5 linked regions of the Macaca fascicularis genome follow. The protein of the gene in region 2 interacts with the protein of the main gene of each other region in a biochemical or structural test. Links are inferred from orthologs where the notes say so. Each region holds a gene or a part of one and is shown on either strand. Other genes may lie near its edges.

Region 1 (4,543 bases), on a different chromosome or scaffold from region 2:
TGCTGTAAATGTGAATTAGCCTAATAATCTTCATCAGTTTTGAACTGTCTTTAAAAGAGGCTTTGCTTGTGTGCACGAAGGTGTATATTTGTATTTCACTCTTAAACTTTTTACTGCTACTTAAAGTAAGCCATACTTTTTACTCAAAGACCCAGCATACACAAACATATCTAAATAGAGATTTGATAAAAACCCTTGTTATATAGTTTTCCTTTTGATTAACTTTTTTAATCTTCTGAAATGCTTGAATATACTTAATGAAACAGGAGAGTATTTTTTTTCTTCTTTACAGTATAACCATAGTTTGCTAATGTATCTCCACTCATGGAGAACTCTGAAAAATAAGCCCTGTTCTCTAAACTTACCTCTGCTCTCTTTTGTCCCTGCTATCACTATTCATTTCCCACCTGCAATCTTTATTCCTCACCCCAACCCCCTTTTCTCTTCCTAGGCTGCATATCTGGTTGGTGTCTCTGACCCCAATAGTCAAGCTGGACAGCAAGGGCTGGTGGAGCCCACACAGTTTGCCCGTGCAAACCAGGCAATTCAGATGGCCTGCCACAGTTTGGGAGAGCCTGGCTGTACCCAGGCCCAGGTAACTCAAGGGAATAGGGACCACAGGCAAGTCTGGGAAAGGGCAGACCAACCCCGTGGAGTAGAGGGAGGTGAGGCATGTGGGAAAGAAGGCAGGGACCCATCTCTGACCTTGCACACAAGGCTTCTCTTTGAGTAACTATCTTTTTCTGCCATGGGTCTCATCATTTTTCAGTTACTGCTAAATTCACAACTTCTCTGTAGATGTTCGAGCTTACTCTCCCACCAGCCCTCTTATGGCTTCTCCGTTAGTATGTCTTTCCTCTCCCATGCCCAGTTCATCTTTGGGTGTCTCTGTCTCCTAGATCTTGACTTTTCAGGTGACTCTGTTTTTCCTGTTTTGACTCCCCAGGGTATTGCTCTCCATCCTCTGACCCTAAAATGGCTCCTCCTTGGGTATGTACACCTCCTTCCTGCCCTCATTGTGGCTCTTCCACGTGTCTCCTCAGGTGCTCTCCGCAGCCACCATTGTGGCCAAACACACCTCTGCACTGTGTAACAGCTGTCGCCTGGCTTCTGCCCGTACCGCCAATCCTACTGCCAAGCGCCAGTTTGTACAGTCAGCCAAGGAGGTGGCCAACAGCACAGCTAATCTTGTCAAGACCATCAAGGTTCCCAGTGCTTGAATTCCCAGCCTCTCCCTGACCTGTCCGATCTTCTCTCCCGAGTCCCCCAGTTATTCTCTGAGGCCTTCTACCAAATCCCTTCTGCCTGAGCCCAAACTCTTTCTATCCAGACTGACCCCCTAGCCTCTCCCCAAATCCTTTAAGTCCTGGGAAGGAGACCTGGACTTCACTTCCTATACCCCCTATGCCTGCATCCCAAGTCCTGAGAGCCTCTCTGTCACTTCTAGGCGCTAGATGGGGCCTTCACAGAGGAGAACCGTGCCCAGTGCCGAGCAGCAACAGCCCCTCTGCTGGAGGCTGTGGACAATCTGAGTGCCTTTGCGTCCAACCCTGAGTTCTCCAGCATTCCTGCCCAGATCAGCCCTGAGGTGAGGCGATGTGAAGGGGGACCTGACAGGCCAGCTTATCACCTCATCTTCCAGGGAATCCTGAGACTTACCTTCCTGCCTCCCCTCTCCCCAGGGTCGGGCTGCCATGGAGCCCATTGTGATATCTGCCAAGACAATGTTAGAGAGTGCTGGGGGACTCATCCAGACAGCCCGGGCCCTCGCAGTCAATCCCCGGGACCCCCCGAGCTGGTCAGTGCTGGCCGGCCACTCCCGTACTGTCTCAGACTCCATCAAGAAGCTAATTACAAGCATGAGGTACTGAGGGGTGGAGAACCAGTGTGGCTGGGGGGCACACATTGTGGCAGAATGGAGGATGGGCACTTAAGTGCAATTAGATGGGATGGTGTTGGGAGGATATAGGGGAAGGATAGGCTGGCCTTGCACTAGGGGATGTTCTTGGTGTTGGAGCCCCTGATGTGTCTGCAGGGACAAGGCTCCAGGGCAGCTGGAGTGTGAAGCGGCCATTGCAGGTCTGAACAGTTGTCTACGGGACCTAGACCAGGCTTCCCTCGCTGCAGTCAGCCAGCAGCTTGCTCCCCGTGAGGGAATCTCTCAAGAGGTGAGGGGGAGAGGGTTATCTGGAAAGATGTGTCTAGGAAGAGAAATGTCATACTCAAAGAAGCTGGGGGATCATGGAGTGGCTTCTTAGGGACATCAAAGGGCTAGGATGTGCCAAGGAGGGTTAGGGTATTCAGTATGAAAGGAAGAGCAGTCCTGTGTAGCCAGAGGGTCCTATTGCAGGTCACGATCAGGGCTAAAGTCCACTTCCTCCCCAGGCCTTGCACACTCAGATGCTCACTGCAGTACAAGAGATCTCCCATCTCATTGAGCCACTGGCCAATGCTGCCCGGGCTGAAGCCTCCCAGCTGGGACACAAGGTACCTATGGAGACTCATGGGAAATCCCAGGGAGTAGGGTGAGAAAGAGGGGACCTGACCCCTAGTCCAACCCCTTGCCTCAGGTGTCCCAGATGGCCCAGTACTTTGAGCCGCTCACCCTGGCTGCAGTGGGTGCTGCCTCCAAGACCCTGAGCCACCCGCAGCAGATGGCGCTCCTGGACCAGACTAAAACATTGGCAGAATCTGCCCTGCAGTTGCTATACACTGCCAAGGAGGCTGGTGGTAACCCAAAGGTATTGAGGGTTGGGAGGGAGGAGCTGTTACTAGCAAGAGGCTGGAGAAACAGGAACAACAGAGCTCTTCTTCTCTCCCCACAGCAAGCAGCTCACACCCAGGAAGCCCTGGAGGAGGCTGTGCAGATGATGACAGAGGCCGTAGAGGACCTGACAACAACTCTCAACGAGGCAGCCAGTGCTGCCGGGGTCGTGGGTGGCATGGTGGACTCCATCACCCAGGCCATCAACCAGGTTAGAGTCTTGGGGTGCCTGTAGACACTGAGGCTACCCTGGGCCAGAGCCTCCAAGCACAGTGGCAGAGACCTTAACAGTCTTTCCCTGTCCCTGTCCTCCCCCTTCAGCTAGATGAAGGACCAATGGGTGAACCAGAAGGTTCCTTCGTGGATTACCAAACAACTATGGTGCGGACAGCCAAGGCCATTGCAGTGACCGTTCAGGAGATGGTGAGTTTGGGCGAGTGCCAGAGGACTGCCCTCGGAGAGCTGACTTTGGATATAACTTCACTCCTTCCATTATCACCAGGTTACCAAGTCAAACAGCAGCCCAGAGGAGCTGGGCCCTCTTGCTAACCAGCTGACCAGTGACTATGGCCGTCTGGCCTCGGAGGCCAAGCCTGCAGCGGTGGCTGCTGAAAATGAAGAGGTAAACGTGGAGGCAGCTCTGCCCTGCCCCCTGCCCCTTGTTCCTGATGTGTCAGCGTCTAGGGCTGTCCCACCCCCACCCTCTCTGGTCTTTCATAGAAAGGGGAACAACCTCAGGGCCACTCTGCTGAACACTAGTGAGGCTCTGGGTAGGGACAGAGGATCAAAGCCTTCTTCAGTCACGGGTACAAAGGAGACAGCTCAGAATCTGGAGCCTTCCTGGACCTGCCTCTTTGGCTTCTGCTGACCCTCATCTGGGCCTACGGCTGCTTCTGTGCTGTGCTGCCAGTCCATGTTCTTGTTCTTTCTTGCTGCAAGGCCATGAAGCTCTTCCTTACCTAAGCCTCTAGCTTTCCAAGAAACCAAGTAATTGGATCTTAGTAGGACACATGTAATCCCCATCCTCAAAACCCTCCATAACCCCATACAGGCCACATGGTAATCCATGGCCCTCTGATTCTAACACTCAAGCATAAAGTGCTCCTCCCCTCCTCCCCACTGTGCTTAACACAATCCTCACCACTTAGTGCCTGCATGCTACTATTTTCCATGTGTAGGAGGTTACCTCCTGTCTAAAGGACATGAAACCAGAAACGTCCTTGTGCTGGGAACTTTCTCTCTCTGCTGCTTTAATCTACGATGCATGTTTTTTCTATGTCCTTAGTGACTTTTCCAAGCACAGTGGTACCCTGAGTGCCCCTTGTAAAATCTCTCTCTCTTTCCCTCGGCTCACAGATAGGTTCCCATATCAAACACCGGGTACAGGAGCTGGGCCATGGCTGTGCCGCTCTGGTCACCAAGGCAGGCGCCCTGCAGTGCAGCCCCAGTGATGCCTACACCAAGAAGGAGCTCATAGAATGTGCCCGGAGAGTTTCTGAGAAGGTGACAATGCTCATCCCTGCAGATGGTGGGACTGCCTCCAAACTCTGTAGCCTTTGCCGTCCTCCTCCAGCCCTCTCAGCCCTCTCCTCTTGTCACTTCTCCCAGGCATGGGCAACCTTTCCATTTCACATGGCACCTTCCACAGTCACCACGTGACTTTCCCTACCCCAGGTCTCTCACGTCCTAGCTGCGCTCCAGGCTGGGAATCGTGGCACCCAGGCCTGCATCACAGCGGCCAGCGCTGTGTCTGGTATCATTGCTGACCTCGACACCACC
Region 2 (4,543 bases):
CCCCAGGAGGTTCAGGCTGAAGCTCCAGCCCCTTCAAAGCTGTGTGTGGCCAGCTCTGTGCCCAGGAGTGTCTACAGCACTCTGGCTGCTGAAAGCTCAGGGATAAGGCCTGGCCTTCTCCGTCACCCCTCCTTCCTAGAGCGTCAGAGTAACTTAAATGTCTTTCTTCCATCCCCTCTTTAGGGTCGGATTCCAGTTAAATGGATGGCAATTGAATCTCTTTTTGATCATATCTACACCACCCAAAGTGATGTGTAAGTGTGGGTGTTGCTGTCTTGGGGTGGGGGTTACAGAAACACCCTTATATGTGTAGTCAGGCCACGGCACCCCATCCATGCAGTTTGGCCAGGGAATTGCGCTGGCCCTGAGCACCTGTCTGCAGTGTCAGCCCTCCACAATGACCCCCTCACTGAGGGGACTTCATGATGTATTCATGAGGCGAATGGCTGGGCCAGGCCAGCCTGCAGTTCTGAAAGCTCCAGTGGAGCATGAGAGCAGAGCAGGTGGCCAGTAACCCAGCCTCCCCCGCCCTTGCCAGCCCCACGCCTCCCTCTGGGCCCCTTGGTGACTCACAGGCCCAGCCCAGCAGTTACCCTCCTGTGGTCCTGAATAGGGCTTTGGGCTCAGGCAGAGTGCCCAGTGACTTGCCCCCACCCACAAGTGGAGCTTGGGGACTCCACCTGAAGATGGCCTTGTGTGAGTTTATAGATTGGTGTGCCCCAAACTGCTCAAAGGTGAAAGCCAAAAATTCATTATTCAGGTCCAGTGACAAGAGCTGATCGCTTTCAAAACACAGGATTCTTGCCTCTAAAGTGTTCTATAGTCAGCAGAGGTATGATGTGCATCTCTTTTTTTTTTTTTTTTTTTTTTTTTTTTTTGATGGGAGGATAGGGTCTCACTCTGTCACCCAGGTTGGAGTGCAGTGGCACAATACTGGCTCACTGCAACCTCCACCTCCCGAGTTTAAGCGATTCCTGTGCCTCAGCCTCCTGAGTAGCTGGGATTACAGGCACGCGCCACCTCTCCTGGCTCATTTTTTTGTATTTTTTAGTAGGGACAGGGTTTCACCATGTTGGTCATGCTGGTCTCGAATCCTGACCTCAAATGATCCGCCCACCTCAGCCTCCCAAAGTGCTGGGATTACAGGCGTGAGCCACCACACCTGGCCAACACGTGCATCTTAAATACTGTGGGCTGTGAGCAACTATTTGGACAACAGCTTCCCAATTACATAAGCTGAGTGTAGGCTAGTTGGAAAAGGCAGAGAGAAAAGCATAAAGAAGAGACTGAATGTCACTGGACCACACCGCACAGTGACTTCTGGCTGCCCTCTGGTGTGCTCTGTGGTGTGCACATGTATGCTTTTTATTGCCCTAAATGGGCTCATGCGATGCTGTTTTGTGATATGATATTGTTCCCATTGCACAGCAAGTTTTCCTTCACAGTTAAAATGTTTTTCTATAGCTTTTTTCCTTCTAAGATTTTACGAAATTTTCCAAGCACATAGAAATGGTGAAAGAACTATATAAGGCACTCTGAGTCTGGTGGTCTGCATTCTCACCCCTTTAAGTGCCAAACCTCATGTGCCCCTTGTGGGTGTGGCTGCTCCAATGGGAGTGGCTTGGGCAGGGACTTCAGCTTCATGGAGTAGGGGCCAGGCAGGCAGGCAGCCCTTCCGCACCTTCATACTACATCCATCTGAGCAACCAGACCCAGGCTGACATCTGTGAGCATCTGTGCTTGGGGCCGACAGGGTCAGCAGGTGCTTGGTGGTAGGGATTGACATCTGGGCCCCCCGGAGGGCACTGTGAGGGCCAGGTAGAACCACTCACTGGTCTTCTTGCTCTCTGCAGATGGTCTTTCGGTGTCCTGCTGTGGGAGATTGTGACCCTAGGGGGCAACCCCTATCCTGGGATTCCTCCTGAGCGGCTCTTCAACCTTCTGAAGACCGGCCACCGGATGGAGAGGCCAGACAACTGCAGCGAGGAGATGTGAGCGGGAACCGGCTTTGGCCCAGCCTCACTTGGGAAGGGAGGGGACACCTGTGTGCATTCCCTCCCCATCCAGAGCAGCCCCAGGAGAAACCAGGAGAAGTGGGGGCTGGGGAGTGGGCAGGGCAGAGGTTAGAGAGCCATCCTTGGGTGTTGCCGTAGATGCTGGGGGTCCTACCCTGCTGAGGGCTGGTGGGCTTGCTAGGGGCTCTTATAAAAATGAGCGAGAGCAGGGACTGGTACAATACAAGCTCGAAGGCTGAGAGCTGTCCCAGCATGACACTTGGGGAGGAGCTGGTAATTCCAAATGGCCCAGGGGGCACGTGTTAAGGGGTGCCTGAGCAGAGGTACAGAGCCAGGCAGGGGCAGCCTGGGCTGCAACCTGAGAGGTTGAAGCCTTTACACTCTTGGGAGAGATGGTCTTAGAAACCAGGCCGAGAACAGATGAGAAAGGGCTGCCCAGAGGCAGAGATGCTTGGTCCATGCATTCCATAGAGTGGGGCGTGGAGGGGGCATCCTGGGCCAAGAAGCCAGGCACCACCTCCCTGGGCCCCCAGCTGGTGGCCAGTTGGAGCACTGTGGTCTGCCTGGGCACCTAGCAAGCAAGGACAGTGCAGGACAGACATGTGATTGCCAAAGGTTCTTGTTTGTCTGTCTCCACACCTAAAAGCCTTCAGTCAATTCATCCTTCTTGAGAGTTTTAAGGACGGGCACTTATCACTTAGCTGCCAGAGCAGGCATAGTATCCAGTGAGCTGTTTACCAGTGTCTTTGCAAGGGAAGTAAAAATGAATCTCCCTTGGAGGGAAGGGAAGCCTATAGGATTCTGGACCACAGCTCTGGGAGACCTGAGCACAGTGGCCCATGGGCTGGGATCCTGCAGACAGGCCATGCCCCAGTCCCAGCAAGGCTCAGAGATGTCAGCGATGCAGAAATAGCTTTGGGGTTGGAAACAGAGCACACTGGGCCCAGGGTGCAGGGCAGGGTGAGGTGACTGTGGTGGGCTGTCCTTCCGAGACCTGGCCTTGCTTGGGTCACATTGGCCTGTCTGCTCTTCCCACCAGGTACCGCCTGATGCTGCAGTGCTGGAAGCAGGAGCCAGACAAAAGGCCAGTGTTTGCGGACATCAGCAAAGACCTGGAGAAGATGATGGTTAAGAGCAGAGTGAGTGCCTGGGGCCAATTCCCACCAGCTGAAAGTGGCATGGGAGACTCCAGCCTCACCCCAGGCAGTGGTTTTAGCCCTCAGAGTTCCCAGTGGGAGGCCACAGTGGGATTGTGCAGAGAGAGACAGTCATGCTCTCCCCTGCGTGCAGACAGCAGACCGAACCCTTCTCAGGCCAGGCTGCTTGGGCTTCTTTTCAAGTCATGAAGAAACCAAGATTCTTGACATTTAGGAAGAGCTCTCTACAGACAGGCATGGGAGGAAAATATTCCAAAGCCAAAAAAATTGTTTTCCATAATGGAAAATGAGAAAGTCGAGTTGAAGCAAGTGCCCAAAATTCAGATGCCCAGAGGGGAGCCCAGCTGGGGGAGGGCAGTGAGTAAGGAGCAGTGGAGACTGTGACAAACAGCCAGGCCCCTCCAAAAGGTTCCTTGCTGGGGGACCTGTGGCCTGCAGAGAAAGGAGCCAGGAATGGACCGGGTCTTCTGAATTTTACGAGGTTTATGTTGTCTCCCAGTTTTTATTGTTAACAATTCATTTAAATTTCCCAGAGCCGAATGTAGGCAAAACAAAGCTTATCGGGGGGTGACCAGAGTCAGCCCGCGTGCCTGGAAGTACAGTTTGTGAGTTCTACACATTTTCAACCAGTTTCATCAGGCAGCTGCTAGGACCCGTACTGTGTCTCAGAGGCTGGGAATCCAAATAAACAAGACCAGCACAGCCCTGTCCTCAAGGGGTTTACACACAGACCTTGTCTTAACATTGGCACATTTACTGAATTGTCACTTCTTCAGACTTGGATAGCAGGATGCAGGACCTAGGACCCCGTAGGAACACTTCACATCACTGTCTCGCTTGGATGAAAACTCCCAAGTCCTGAGAATGCAGGGTTGTTCTAAACAGAAGTGATCACTGGTTCTGGCCTTCCTAGAACAGTGCTGAGAAACAGCCAGGAAAACACTGGGCCCCTCTGTGCACATTCAAGCTGGGCATTGAAAGGAGCAGATGCAAGTGGCCCCTCATGCTGGGGAGCCTGTGCCTGTAGCAGGGTCATGTGCACCCTGACAGCACTGTCAGATTTCAGAAGTCTCAGCCCTGACGTGATGTTCTAGATGACAGGGATCCTTGGGGAAAGCTGGAAAACATCCTGCAGGCTGGGGCTGCATCCTGGCATGTCGCTGCAGTGGGCTCCCCCAGAGCCCAAGGGTTTGTCAGCGGGCCAGTTCCCTGCCACCCGTCTCCGAGTTGGGCCAGGGGCAGCTGGATGAGGCATCCCCTGGGGCTGCCCTCCAAGCCCTGGAGATAGGACCCTGAGGGAGCACATTTCTGTCCCCAGGGAGGTGACTTTCTAGGGGAAGAGACAGAATAGACAACAACCAGGGGGAGCCA
Region 3 (4,013 bases), on a different chromosome or scaffold from region 2:
GCGAAAGGATCAATTTGGGTTTCACTGACCTCAAGTTTCTAAAGCTTTTAACCAAGAAGCCTCAATCACCACGTTGGGAGCTGACACTGACACTGGATCAAGATCATTGGTGGTACTGGGGTATGTTCTTGAAGCTCAACCTGTGCATTTGATGTAGAAAGCCCAGATCACTTTGATGTGGGTGGCAAAGCACCACCTCTTTAACAAAAAACTTAAGGGAGGCTGGGATCAGATCTCTCGTAAGATACACCCTTATGTTAAGAGAATTTAGACACATTATTTAGAGACATCCCATTTCTCAATCCAAATGCGAGCAGAAAACTATAGGAGAAGGATATTTTCCCTCATTTGGTGTCCCGGAATGTGACTCCCTGAAGGGAGCCATTCTGGGGACAATTGGAGGGTGTAGTGTGCGTGTGCACACATGCATTTGTGTGCCTGGTGTGCGTGTGGGGGTTGGCACACTCTCTAGAAGTGGACCCTTTGGGATGGCCTAGCTTCTTCTGCTGGTGGATGAAGATTTGCTCCTTGCTCCTAGGCATGAGCTTGAAGGGGGTTCATGAAGGGTGTTTAGGAAGTTGTTCAAGGAAGACTGTCAGAGGAAACTGCGAACTGGGCTGAAGAAAAACAACCAGAAAACACAGAAGGAGCTCTCAGCCACTGTGCCTTCAAAAAGAGAGAAAAGTCAGTTCAGGGAGGTGGCTTCCAGCTGACCTCACCCACCTCAGGAGGGGTCATTCCAACCTAGGGTGCTGAGAATCCGGGTGGGATTACCAACAAAGCTAGAGAACCGTGGGTCAGCGAGCCTTAGGAAGAAGTGGAAAGGAATCTTAACTTATCTGCAATAGCCTTCCTATGAGAAGTTGTGGCTAACACATGCCTAATGGCTAGAATTAAATGCTGGGAATATAACGGGCTCAACACAGGTCATCCGCGTGTCAAATGTTCCTGCTGTTTTCTACATTGGGGACATTTCCTAGCCTATTCCCAAGCTCATTTAGAAGGGAAGCGGAGGTGCCCCGCCTTACTGGGCGGCGTCCCCTCCAGCGGCTGCCCGGGCCCTGGGCCTGCGCTCCCTCGCGGTGGCGCCAGGTGGCGGGGCTGCGCGCCCTGGAGGAGCTGCGCCTCAGTCGCGGGGCTCTCTCAGCACTGAGGACACCACGCCCTGCAAACTGTTGGGAACTTATCTGTAGCAATCACACTGCTGGCTCCTGTAAACTGGTGTGAGGCCCTCAGGGGTGAGAACAGGATTGCAGAACTGCGCTTACCCTTTTGGAAACTCGTCCAGTGGCAGGAGCAGCCTCCCAGGAGCAGAGCAGACCTGCTCGGTGGTCCCCTCGCCAACCAGGGACCCAAGAAGCCGCTCAAGGAAACACGGTCCCGCGGTGTCCGGGAGGTCCTGTAAGAGCCCTGTAGCTGCCCGGGTTCTGTGAAATGTCAGTGAGGGTGGGGGAGATCTGCGCGAAATCCTGGGAATATGCGAGTCATAACACTTCAGGAGAGGAGCCTAGGGTGCTGGTCCTGCAGGGCGTGGAACCCTCTGCTTTTCCTGAGCAGGCCTTTTCCCTGGGTCGACACGTGGAGCTCAGTGTGAGGCCCTCCTGCAGAGTGGACGCGGATCTTTATGGTCTGCGTTTCTATATTAGCCTCAGCAGCCTGATGACACCTTTATGAAAGGTTGAAACACGATAAATTACCAATATTCCATGTTTTATGTATTCCCCCCAAAGCCGACAATTAAACATGATTCACCAAACAGCAAATACTTTGCATACATCCATTATTGAATTAGTAAAATCCATGTGATGGAGGATGTGCAAACTGCAAATCGTTAACGCTTTAGAACTACATATTTCTGTATTGCCCTGGAAAGAACTGTACACAAATGAATATTCCCTGTCTTTTTAATTTTTACGGACGGAGTGTATGGGCCACATGCAAGTTAGGGGCTGATCTGCTGATTTTGCTGCCACTAGAGCAGAGGGATAGTGAAAGCGGGGCTGAGCGCAGCACCGACCAATCTCATCGCCGCGCTTGCCCCGCGTGGAGGGAGCCGAGTGCCCGAACCTGAGGGAGAGACCTGGTACTAGAATGGCCCGCGGACCCCGGCGTCTCCCGGGGCACGGGGGTTGAGCGCGATCGCCCGCGTTTTACGGCTAGGGAAACTGAGGCGGCCACCGAGGGGACGCCTCGAAACCATTCCGGCGAGAGCTGGCGGCGGCCTTGCTCTGCGAGCTCTTCGCGCCACTCGCCCTCCCCGCCCGCCCGCCGGCCTCAGGATTGAGGAAGTGCGTCTGGGCCCGGCCCCGGCGCGCGGCCCGAGGCGCGGGGGGCAGACGGCTGTGGGACGGCCAGGCCCCGGCCCGCCAGTGTCCGCCCAGCCCCGCGTCCCGGAGCGTCCGTACCCGGGCCCCGCCGCCGCCGCAGGTAAGTGCTGTTCCTCTCCGCGCCCCCCAGGGACCTGGTTGCCTCCTGCGGCCGGCCCGGGAATCCGGAGCCCGCGCCCGCGTCCGCGGGGAGCCCTGGCCTCTGCCTGCCGCGGGCCTGCGCTCCAGGCGGCCGCATGGTCGGACATGGGTGGCCGTTGCGCAGGGGCCGCAGCCCGAGGGGCGCGGAGGGCGTGTGGGGTGACCCCCAGTCTCACGTCCCGGCTGCCTCCTGCCACGCCCGTAGCCCAGCCAACCTGTGGTAGGGGGGTGTGCGGGCCCGAGCGGGGAACCCCGAAACCCCGTATGGGACAGGGTCGGGAACGCTGGGAAGCAGAGGCAAGAAACACAAGCAGGCAAATACACCAGGGCGTCCATATATTTCCTCTCCCTTTGGAGAAAACCCCGTCCTTTAACGGGGAGCGGGCGGAGAGTGAGCGCGCGGTTGTGCCTGTGCCAGGGTGTTGACAAGAGACAGTCCAGGAGTCTCTCACTGCTCCAGGGCTTCCTGGTGTTGCGGGGTGGCCCAGCGAGGCTTCACCCTCCTCAATGTCTGGGTTATGCTTCTTGCCCAGGTGTCTTCTGGCTGGTACAGATACAACTGCTATGTCTGCCATGGTCTCTGCAACCTACGCAGGACCTTCCCGGCAGGCAGGGAGGCAGGCGAGGAAGCCTAGTAAGGCCGGGGTCAGCCGGGAGCCGATGGTGGAGAATATAAAGACCCCTGTGGCCATTTCAACCTACCCCTTCACAGTTTGAGGCCACGAAATTTTTCTCCCACAAACACAACCCCTGCAACAGGTAGAGAAACAGGGGCATATAGCTTTTAGCAAACCTCTCACCATGTACACTAATTTTAGAGTTTGCCACTCACTCGCAGGGTATCAAAATGCCCAGACATTAAAGGGACAGCTAGAACATGCACAATTTTGGAAAATGTTAAGTTAAATGTCTTTTATGATTTGATTTTCTTCATCTGTGCCTATGTCCTGAAAGAGAAAATAGTATAACAAACTAACCTCACACCTAATTTGTTCCTAAAGGAGGTTTTGCTGTCAGCCAAACCTTTCCTTCTCCCAAATGTCAATGTCTCAGGGAGTGACCTCACAATCAACTCAGATGCTCAGATCAAAAACATTCAGTCTGTGGATCTACGTCTAAAATGTGTCCTGGTCTGTCCCCTTTTTTCTTATGTCCCCCACCCCTTGTCCCGGGTACCAGCATCTCTTTACTGTAGGATTACAGTTCCCCCTCCCTCCATTCTCTATATAGCAGCGTGTGTGTGTGTGTGTGTGTGTGTGTGTGTGTGTGTGTGTGTGTGTTTAAATGGGTAAATAGGACTATATCAGTCCTCTGTATGGAATCCTTCAGTAGCTTCTCCTTGCCATTGGCATGCGATCCAGGAGACCTCCTTCTCCTTACACCCCCAGCTGATCCAGCCTCTGCTATCTCAGACCACCAGGCCATTGCCCCCAGCCACCCTGACTGAGCTCACTGTCCAGCACTGGGCCCCTGCACTGCTGCCTCCCGACTCTTCACATAGCCTCAGAAAGCCTTCCCTGGTCACCCTCTTAAAACCCACACTCT
Region 4 (4,543 bases), on a different chromosome or scaffold from region 2:
GGGTGCAAGCGATTCTCCTGCTTCAGCCTTCTGAGTAGCTGGGACTACAGGCACATGCACATGCCACCACACCTGGCTAAATTTTTGTATTTTTAGTAGAGATGGGGTTTCACCGTGTTAGCCAAGATGGTCTCAATCTCCTGACCTTGTGATCCGCCCATCTCGGCCTCCCAAAGTGCTGGGATTACAGGCGTGAGCCACCGCGCCTGGCCGAGAATGCCTTTTTGAGCGCCTGGCCAGGTGAACAGGACAGGCAGAAGCGCCCTCGCTGGGCTGGTGTTCTAGCCAAATATCCTGTGACAGACCCTGTGAGCTAGTACCAGCCAGCCACACTGTTGCTGGTTTTGCTAGCCAGTGTAAAAGGGTGTGATCTGGTGATGGAGAAGCTTTTGGGTTTCGAAGCCTGGGCCTCTTTTATTGTGCCAGTGTGTCCTTTCATTCAGAGACCTTTTCCCCGTGAGTGGATCTAAAATTCCTGAATGGAAAACATGACTTGGAACTATTCGCAGTTACGAGAGAATTGTTGAAAGTATTTCCAGCCCTCCTCACCTTCTTCCTGCATATAACATTTTAATTATTTTTTTATTCAAAGGAAGTTAAGTCACACTTCTTTGTCTTAAGTAAGGCTGTTTTATTTGTTAGGGTTCAGGGCACATGGACTGTTTTTTTCTTTTTTTTTGAGACAGAGTTTCACTCTTGTTACCCAGGCTGGAGTGCAGTGGCGCAATCTCAGCTCACTGCAACCTCCGCCTCCTGGGTTCAAGTGATTCTCCTGCCTTGGTGTCCCGAGTAGCCGGGATTACAGGCATGCACCACCACGCCCAGCTACTTTTGTATTTTTAGTAGAGATGGGGTTTCTCCATGTTGATCAGGCTGGTCTCGAAATCCCAACCTCAAGTGATCTGCCCGCCTTGGCCTCCAAAGTGTTGGGATTACAGGTGTGAGCCACCGTGCCCAGCCTGGACTCTTTATCTTACAAACATCTTCAGAATGAGAGTGACTGATGGCCTGTCCCTGTTTGGTTTCTTCATGTTGTCCTGGTGCCCATCAGTCATAGGGAGGGGTCTGTTCCAGGGACACGCAGTGAGGAAGCTTGTTACTCTGCAGTCCCTGAGGAGTGCTGCCGGGACAGTGGTTCTCTCAGGATATCGCTTATATGGGCAGATAGCCTTCGATTTGCCAGGTTAGAGCCTTTAGCCGGTCCATGTGCTCTCTGTCCCTCCCAGGTTTGGAAACGATGTGCAGCACTTCAAGGTGCTCCGAGACGGAGCCGGCAAGTACTTCCTCTGGGTGGTGAAGTTCAATTCTTTGAATGAGCTGGTGGATTATCACAGATCTACATCTGTCTCCAGAAACCAGCAGATATTCCTGCGGGACATAGAACAGGTGCCACAGGTAAGCCTCATCAGGGTGAGATGGGATCATTTTAGAAATTAAGAATAGCTCCTCAGTGTGCATTCCTGTGGGAAGGGGGAGGTGACCCTCAATCAACATGCAGGCGCCCTTCAGGGATTGCCACTGGGGCTTCTGTGCTCGTTACTGAACACGTTACCTTCCATTCACACTAAAAATTTCTTGTTTCTGGCCCAGCGTAGTAGCTCATGCCAGTAATCCCAGCACTTTGGGAGGCTGAGGCAGGCAGATCACTTGAGGTCAGGAGCTTGAGACCAGCCTGGCCAACATGGTGAAACCCTGTCTCTACTAAAAATACAGAAATTAGCCAGATGTGGTGGCGCCCACCTGCGCTTGGGAAGCTGAGATGGAAAAATCGCTTGAACCCAGGAGGTGGAGGTCACAGTGAGCTGAGATTGTACCACCGCACTCCAACCTGGGTGACAGAGGGAGACTCCATCTCAAAAAAAAAAAGAAAAAGAAAAAGAAAGATTTGTTGTTTTAAATATAGGATTTTTGCTTTTCCAGAGGCAGTGTGTAGCCAGCTTGCCAGTCTCTCTAGGGAGATGGTCTTTAACACACCCACCCAAAGATCCTGTCCCTGGAGGCAAATTATGAGGAAAACTATGCTTGTGAGGGAGTGAGGTCGGCACCGTTCCTGTCCCTCGAGCCCTGGTCATAAGTTACAGTTAGAGTCCCTTATGTTATGCGAGCTCCAGAATTTTAGGCTCTAATATCTTAAGGGTGTGGTAGAAGGGATTTGCAGATTCTGGGCCCACAGCCTAAACACAGACGGCTGTTTCTGAAGAACTTTCCCCTCCAAGCACTGCCTGCCCTCTACTTGATAATATGGCACAGTTGGCCACCCTCCTCTGGGAGACATACTCTAGCATTTTCTGAGCACTGGGAAAGATCACACTAAACCCGCTTGGCCTGTAAACTTAGAAGAGGTAAGAATAAATGGGGGGTTGGGAGATGGGAGGTGAGTTTAGAAAACATGGAGAATTTGGCACGCATTCGTTTCCCCCTGGAACCCGTCTGGCCTCGGAGGTGGCCGGCCACAGACCAGGAATGCAATATGGGTTTTTCCTGCTCCTGTTTTGCAGCAGCCGACATACGTCCAGGCCCTCTTTGACTTTGATCCTCAGGAGGATGGAGAGCTGGGCTTCCGCCGGGGAGATTTTATCCATGTCATGGATAACTCAGACCCCAACTGGTGGAAAGGAGCTTGCCACGGGCAGACCGGCATGTTTCCCCGCAATTACGTCACCCCCGTGAACCGGAACGTCTAAGAATCAAGAAGCAATTATTTAAAGAAAGTGAAAAATGTAAAACACATACAAAAGAATTAAACCCACAAGCTGCCACTAACAGCAGCCTGTGAGGGAGTGCAGAACACCTGGCCGGGTCACCCTGTGACCCTCTCACTTTGGTTGGAACTTTAGGGGGTGGGAGGGGGTGTTGGATTTAAAAATGCCAAAACTTACCTATAAATTAAGAAGAGTTTTTATTACAAATTTTCACTGCTGCTCCTCTTTCCCCTCCTTTGCCCTTTTTTTCATCCTTTTTTCTCTTCTGTCCATCAGTGCATGACGTTTAAGGCCACGTATAGTCCTAGCTGACGCCAATAATAAAAGACAAGAAACCAAGTGGGCTGGTATTCTCTCTATGCAAAATGTCTGTTTTAGTTGGAATGACTGAAAGAAGAACCACTCTTTCTGTGTTCTTCGTATATACACACAAAAAGGAGCGGGCAGGGCAGCTCGACACCTTTGCTGTTTAACTTCCTCCAGAGGAGGGGGCTTGTAGGAATCTGCCTTCCAGCCCAGACCCCCAGTGTATTTTGTCCAAGTTGGCAGTAGAGTGGGGTAGAAGGAAAGCATGTCGCTGCCTCCATGGCTTCCCTAGAAAGCCTGCCTGGGCCGGGCAGCGTGGTGGCTCACGCCTGTAATCCCAGCACTTTGGGAGGCCAAGGTGGGTGGATCACAAAGTCAGGAGTTCGAGACCAACCTAGCCAACATGGCAAAACCCTGTCTGTACTAAAAATACAAAAATTAGCTGGGTGTGGTGGCATGCGCCTGTAATCCCAGCTACTCGGGAGCCTGAGGCAGGAGAATCACTTGAACCTGGGAGGTGGAGGTTGCAGTGAGCCGAGACCATGCCATTGTACTCCAGCCTGGGTGACAGAGCGAGGCTCCATCTCAAAAAAAAAAAAAAAAAGCCCTCCCAACAGCCTGTCTCTTTCCACTTTGTTGGCCCTTCCAGTGGGATTATCGAGCATGTTGTTTTTTCATAGTGCCTTTTTCCTTATTTCGAGGGTTGCTTCTGAGTGGTGGTGTTTTTTGTTTTTGTTTTTGTTTTTAATTTGTTTTGTTTTAAAATAAGTTAAAGACAGTCCAGAGCTTTTCAGCCAATTTGTCTCCTACTCTGTGTAAATATTTTTCCCTTGGGGCAGGGTAGAGCAAGGGAGACAAGCAGGAGTACAAGGTGAAGCATTCTCCTGCTTGTACTAAGCCAGGAGGCTTTAAGCTCCAGCTTTAAGGTGTGTGAGCCCCTTGGGGGTTCAGGGAACTGCTTGTCCAGGTTGCAGTGTGAGTGTGACGGGCCACCGGGGCAAGAGGGAAGGTGACCACCCAGCTCTCCCACATCCCACTGGATCTGGCTTACAGGGGGTTGGAAGCCTGTCCTCACTGTCTCAGGGGTTGTGGCCCCCACCCCATCACTATATGCACCCCTGGAACCAGCAAGCCCCAGACAAGGAGAGCGAAGGAGGAAGTCATGGGAACGCAGCCTCCAGTTGTAGCAGGTTTCACCTTATTCCTATGCTGGAGTGCACAATGAGAGTACTCACTTCTCACCTGTCTTGCTCTTAGATTGGGCTGTGGCTTTCATCCTGTGTCCTCTGACCTGTCCAGATGAGCGTGAGGGCAGCATTGGGAAGCCAGAGTGCTGCTTGTGCCTCCCTTGCCAGTGGGCTGTGTTGACTGCTGCTCCCCACCCCTACAGATGGTCCCAGGAAGCAGGGAGAGTTGGGGAAGGCAAGATTGGAAAGAAAGACCAAGGCCTCGGCAGAGATCTCTGTCTTCTCTCCACTTCTGGTCCCCTGTAGTGATGTGCCTGTAATCTTTTTCTCCACCCACTCCCCTTTCCA
Region 5 (4,543 bases), on a different chromosome or scaffold from region 2:
CCGGGCACGGTGGCTCATGCCTGTAATCCCAGCACTTTGGGAGGCCAAGGCGGGCAGATCACGAGGTCAGGAGATTGAGACTGTCGTGGCTAGCATGGTGAAACCCCGTCTCTACTGAAAATACAGAAAAATTGGCCAGGCGTGGTGGCAGGCGCCTGTAGTCCCAACTACTCAGGAGGCTGAGGCAGGAGAATGGCGTGAACCCGGGAGGCAGAGCTCGCAGTGAGCTGAGATTGCGCCACTGCGCTCCAGCCTGGGCGACAGAGCGAGACTCTGTCTCAAAAAAAAAAAAAAAAAAGCTTCCATCTCTGGGCCCTCTTTGGTCATCCTCCCCTTTCAAGTTCTTTCTCCTTTGTTTCTTGTTGTAGTCTTTTATTTACAAGAATTGAAATTTATTAATTTAAGGGCAAAATCATTTGCTGAGAGTATTATGGACTCATTCCTTAACATCTGGTTGATGCCAAATTCAAAAGAAGTATATAAAAATAAGTATTGACCTGAATTCCTCATGCTGTGTATCTTAAGACCTCTTATGAATTTGGTAGTACATAAAAGAGAGATTTAAATTTAGTTTCCTTCCTGACCTCGTCTCTATTCATAATGTTTAAAGAATAGAAAGTTGAACAAATCTTGCATTTGGTTGTAAAGCTACCATGAATTTCCCACCTGTTGCATCTCACATGTGATACTTTGCCCCTGCAGAGAGGTGCTTGGAAGACCACGAGCTGGTGGTCCAAGTGGAGAGTACCATGGCCGGTGAGAGTAAATTTCTATTCCGGAAGAATTATGCAAAATACGAGTTCTTTAAAAATCCCATGGTGAGTCTTACGTCTTCAGGTTTGGGGTTTGGGACTCTTGACATCTGGAAGTTTATACTTGGGTTTCATAGTATCAGATTAGAAAGTGACTGAGAGGCACGACGTAGCATATCGGTTTGAGAGTCAGAGTTGCAGTTTAATGAAGCAATCCTTGCTTGAAACCCAGTCTCGTGCTTCACTAAATGTGCCTGGGACTGGCTGAAGATAGAGGTCTCCTTCTTCAAATAGACACAGTGTAAAGGGGGTTAGTCTCTAAGACAGGAGCTGGGGGAGACTGGGCGTTTTCTGTTATTTTGAAAGTTCTCAGTTAAACTGATCAAACACTTAGCAGAAGAAAAACTCATTATTCTCTGCACACAGCAAACACATTTTGTGATCATACGTGGAAGAATGACTAGAGAAATCAGTGCGATTGGTGGTGTCTTGAGCTGGTCACCTTGATCTCTCTTCCCCTTTCTTTCTTTGGGAAAGAAGGCACTTGTCCTGTGAGAGGCCGGGATAGGGAGGGCACCTCCTAGCTCCTGGGGTACTTACTGTCGTCCTGAGTCATGGGGCAGAGCTGTGTCAGCTGGGGAGAAGACCCAGGGTCATTTCTGACTCTGATAATTTAGCTGCTTTTTTATTCCAGAGTGAGAAATTTGAAGACTGTTTTTGGGGAATGCAACAGAAAAGGCTTTTCTCGTGACTGGGCTTACCTTTTAGTTTCAGGAATTCTTTATCTCACTCTTTGCCATGGAGTATGCTGTGAGACATGCATCCCTTAGTAAACATAGGTGGTATTCCATACTCGTACCCAACATTTCAGGAAATGAAATACAACCTTTTGAAGGAGCTATTTCTTCTGTGTGATAGGAGAATAAAAAGGACTGCCATTTTAAATACAGGTGTACATAATTATATTGGTAGGAATAGTTTTAAAATTTACTTATCTATATGACATACCTTCCCTCACTTTGAAACTAACCTTTCACGTATTTGTTTTTTCCCATTTTCTTAGAATTTCTTCCCAGAACAGATGGTTACTTGGTGCCAGCAGTCAAATGGCAGTCAAAGCCAGCTTTTGCAGGTACTGGGCCAAAATAGACCTCTGCTGAAATAGACTTTCTGAATAGAAATCCTCTTGGAACTGAATGGCAACATTGTAAAAAACCTGAAGAGATTGCATCTTTCATCATTTATAACTTTGGCCCTTAAGGGGGTTTAGAGTAACCAGAAATTAAAAAGTTTACTTGGAAAATCTGTGTGTAGCTGGATTCCTGCTGAGCCAAACAGGCACTTACACACAGAATGCCCTTGCTCTGACTTAGAAGAGTCCAGTGATGCCACTGCTGAGTGTGGCCCGGGGGGTGCATGGAGAAACCCCAGTTTCAGGGCTCCCCAGCTCCTTTCTGAGCAGGGGTCCCAGGTCAGGCCACCGCCCAGCTGCTTGGAAATCTCTGCAGAAGCGCTGAGTCTATAGTAAAAGATGATTGGGTTACCACGACAGACTTTTACAAGTAACTTGCCATACATTACAAATAAAGAAACCTGCTTTAATTGTCCTAAAGTCTGTTCTGAGAAAATCTGGTCTCTCCCCACCTCCTCTTCCAGTGGAGGGAGCCACCAGGGCCTCTGTGCTCAGCTGTCACACACGCTCCTCCAGGGAAGCTGGGAGCGGGGAATGGGAATGTTACAGCTACACCCTAAAAATATGCCTGTGTACATGTCAAAAGTGAAAGAATGAATCATTTCCTAAGGCCACCAACAATATCCAAGTGACATATTACATGTAACAGAAACTACTAAAATATAGTTCCTACAGAATTCTGCTCATAAGCCCTTCTTTTGCTATGTTGTTATCACCAAATTTGTTTCAGCATCTAAAAGATAAGAGCTTCAGAGCTCTGTTCCGGTGGTGTCTTCAGAAGCCCTTCTGACCATAGCATGTGTCTGTTCTGGTGAGAGGTGTCAGTGCTAAGGTACCACCTGTACACCGTGAACAGTGAAATGGCACATTCTGTTTTAACTTGCCTTGACTTTGGGAGGACTCATGTGCTTTGTGAAGATATGCTGTGGTCTCTTGAGACTCAGGAAGGACTGACCCAGGTGCACTAGGGCTCTGTCCGACGTGCCTTTCCCACCTGGGGGAAAAGAGCTTTGTCCCCTCCCAGTCTAGTAGCAAGACCTGCCAACATCACCTCCCCAACTTTGCTCCGTGACCTGGCCCTCGGCCTGTCTTCCCTTTGATGAAAAGCATAGTTTCTTGTTTTGTTTTGTTTTGTTTTGATAAAGGCTTTATTCTTAAGGCTGCCTGTGGGAAAAGTTAAGTGGAACAGGGGGACATCACCAGGATGTCCTGCACCTGGGTTCATCACTTGCAGACAAATGACACCTTTTATGTGACCCTTGACTGGAGGGGTGCCTGGGTAAAAGTGGCCACTACATGCTCACTCTCAGTCCCCAGAGCCCCACTCACTCAGTCATGGCACTTGCTCTTGCCCTCAGTCTGATATCAGACTGGATCCTTCAGTGCACTCTCTTACAGGGAAATTCGTGACTTGTGTTATCACCAGTGTTAGAAAGGTCCATTTGCTTGCATGTGTTTAAATACGAATTATGTTCTATGCAGCACCAATTGAGATGGGATTTTAAGACTTTGGAAAGGAGAACACGCTCAGTTTGATCAAAAAAAGGAGTCTTTTAATAATTCAGAAAATGTCAGTTATGCTAATAACATGTCTGCTTTAATTATTTTAGATTAGCATTATGTAATTTTTAAAATTTGTTCTTCAACAGAATTTTCTGAACTCCAGTAGCTGTCCTGAAATTCAAGGGTTTTTGCATGTGAAAGAGCTGGGAAAGAAATCATGGAAAAAGCTGTATGTGTGTTTGCGGAGATCTGGCCTTTATTGCTCCACCAAGGGAACTTCAAAGGTGAGCTTTAAAACCTGCCACCACCAGCCCTGATTCTGCCCCCGTCACTGCCCCCGGGAGTCCTCAGAGTAAACCTAGGCTTCATTTTTAAATGCACCTTAGACTCCTCCAGGCTCAGGACAACTTCTTAATAAGCTAATTGTGCAACAGCTAAACTTGGAGTCACAGGTTTCCTGGTCTCCCTCAGAAACTAGGTAATAAATAATACATACCTAAGAACCCCACCTGCCCAGCCCCACCCCCACTGTGGGTTGGTAGCAGACCTCCCTGGCTGCCCTATCACTTCAGAGACTGGCCTAGTTCCCATAAGTTGGGATTTAAGCTAGCTGTAAAGATGTTTGATAGATGATTGCCACCCTAATGCCAGTGTAACTTTATGTATCAGATATTTTATGAAATAAATTTCAGGTTTGCATGTATCCGTAGTGAGAAGAAGGTGGGAGATGGAAAACAGCTGCAGGCCCTCAAAAGACAGCTGGTAGCACTGAGGGCTTAGGCTGGAGGCTCCTTCGCTCCCATGTACACTCTTGCCTGCTCTCTTCTCGTGCTGTCCACATACACCCTGTGGCAGGAGCCATGTCCATTCAACGTGGCTGAGCACTTACCATCTGAGGGCTACGGTCTCTTTTACTCTGGCCAGCAAAGGGGAAAGGGAGCTGGCGGGACCCTGGCACAGGTGTTGAGCATCAGGCCAACTCTGGGAAGTCAGCGGCTGCTGACGCATGGGCCAGAGAGAAGGGGGGTCATCTGCAGAGAGGGGCTTTGGTCTGACACAGGGCATGGTAGCGTCCTGACCTCTCAGCTGTGCTGTG

What was found.
Region 1: the proteins of RET (region 2) and TLN1 interact in a surface display test, tested with the Homo sapiens proteins (2 studies listed by BioGRID and IntAct, with this or other methods). The link is inferred for Macaca fascicularis from reciprocal best matches to the Homo sapiens genes RET and TLN1.
Region 3: the proteins of RET (region 2) and LRRK1 form a complex in vitro, tested with the Homo sapiens proteins (2 studies listed by BioGRID and IntAct, with this or other methods). The link is inferred for Macaca fascicularis from reciprocal best matches to the Homo sapiens genes RET and LRRK1.
Region 4: the proteins of RET (region 2) and GRB2 form a complex in vitro, tested with the Homo sapiens proteins (3 studies listed by BioGRID). The link is inferred for Macaca fascicularis from reciprocal best matches to the Homo sapiens genes RET and GRB2.
Region 5: the proteins of RET (region 2) and GRB10 form a complex in vitro, tested with the Homo sapiens proteins (2 studies listed by BioGRID). The link is inferred for Macaca fascicularis from reciprocal best matches to the Homo sapiens genes RET and GRB10.

What each region holds. Positions count from the first base shown.
Region 1 is NC_088389.1:63,692,019-63,696,561, forward strand, and holds part of TLN1 (talin-1), read left to right. Parts: intron 1-451; coding exon 452-595; intron 596-1,043; coding exon 1,044-1,205; intron 1,206-1,447; coding exon 1,448-1,588; intron 1,589-1,682; coding exon 1,683-1,864; intron 1,865-2,035; coding exon 2,036-2,168; intron 2,169-2,385; coding exon 2,386-2,487; intron 2,488-2,570; coding exon 2,571-2,741; intron 2,742-2,825; coding exon 2,826-2,975; intron 2,976-3,085; coding exon 3,086-3,187; intron 3,188-3,266; coding exon 3,267-3,386; intron 3,387-4,120; coding exon 4,121-4,267; intron 4,268-4,438; coding exon 4,439-4,543. UniProt on the Homo sapiens protein: High molecular weight cytoskeletal protein concentrated at regions of cell-matrix and cell-cell contacts. Involved in connections of major cytoskeletal structures to the plasma membrane.
Region 2 is NC_088383.1:52,388,291-52,392,833, forward strand, and holds part of RET (proto-oncogene tyrosine-protein kinase receptor Ret), read left to right. Parts: intron 1-183; coding exon 184-254; intron 255-1,853; coding exon 1,854-1,991; intron 1,992-3,054; coding exon 3,055-3,154; intron 3,155-4,543. UniProt on the Homo sapiens protein: Receptor tyrosine-protein kinase involved in numerous cellular mechanisms including cell proliferation, neuronal navigation, cell migration, and cell differentiation in response to glia cell line-derived growth family factors (GDNF, NRTN, ARTN, PSPN and GDF15).
Region 3 is NC_088381.1:85,976,007-85,980,019, forward strand, and holds the start of LRRK1 (leucine-rich repeat serine/threonine-protein kinase 1), read left to right. Parts: upstream 1-1,213; 5' UTR 1,214-1,401; intron 1,402-2,018; exon of another isoform or gene 2,019-2,427; intron 2,428-4,013.
Region 4 is NC_088390.1:81,722,148-81,726,690, reverse strand, and holds part of GRB2 (growth factor receptor-bound protein 2), read left to right. Parts: intron 1-1,226; coding exon 1,227-1,395; intron 1,396-2,498; coding exon 2,499-2,684; 3' UTR 2,685-4,543. UniProt on the Homo sapiens protein: Non-enzymatic adapter protein that plays a pivotal role in precisely regulated signaling cascades from cell surface receptors to cellular responses, including signaling transduction and gene expression.
Region 5 is NC_088377.1:79,813,362-79,817,904, forward strand, and holds part of GRB10 (growth factor receptor-bound protein 10), read left to right. Parts: intron 1-702; coding exon 703-818; intron 819-1,815; coding exon 1,816-1,884; intron 1,885-3,593; coding exon 3,594-3,731; intron 3,732-4,543.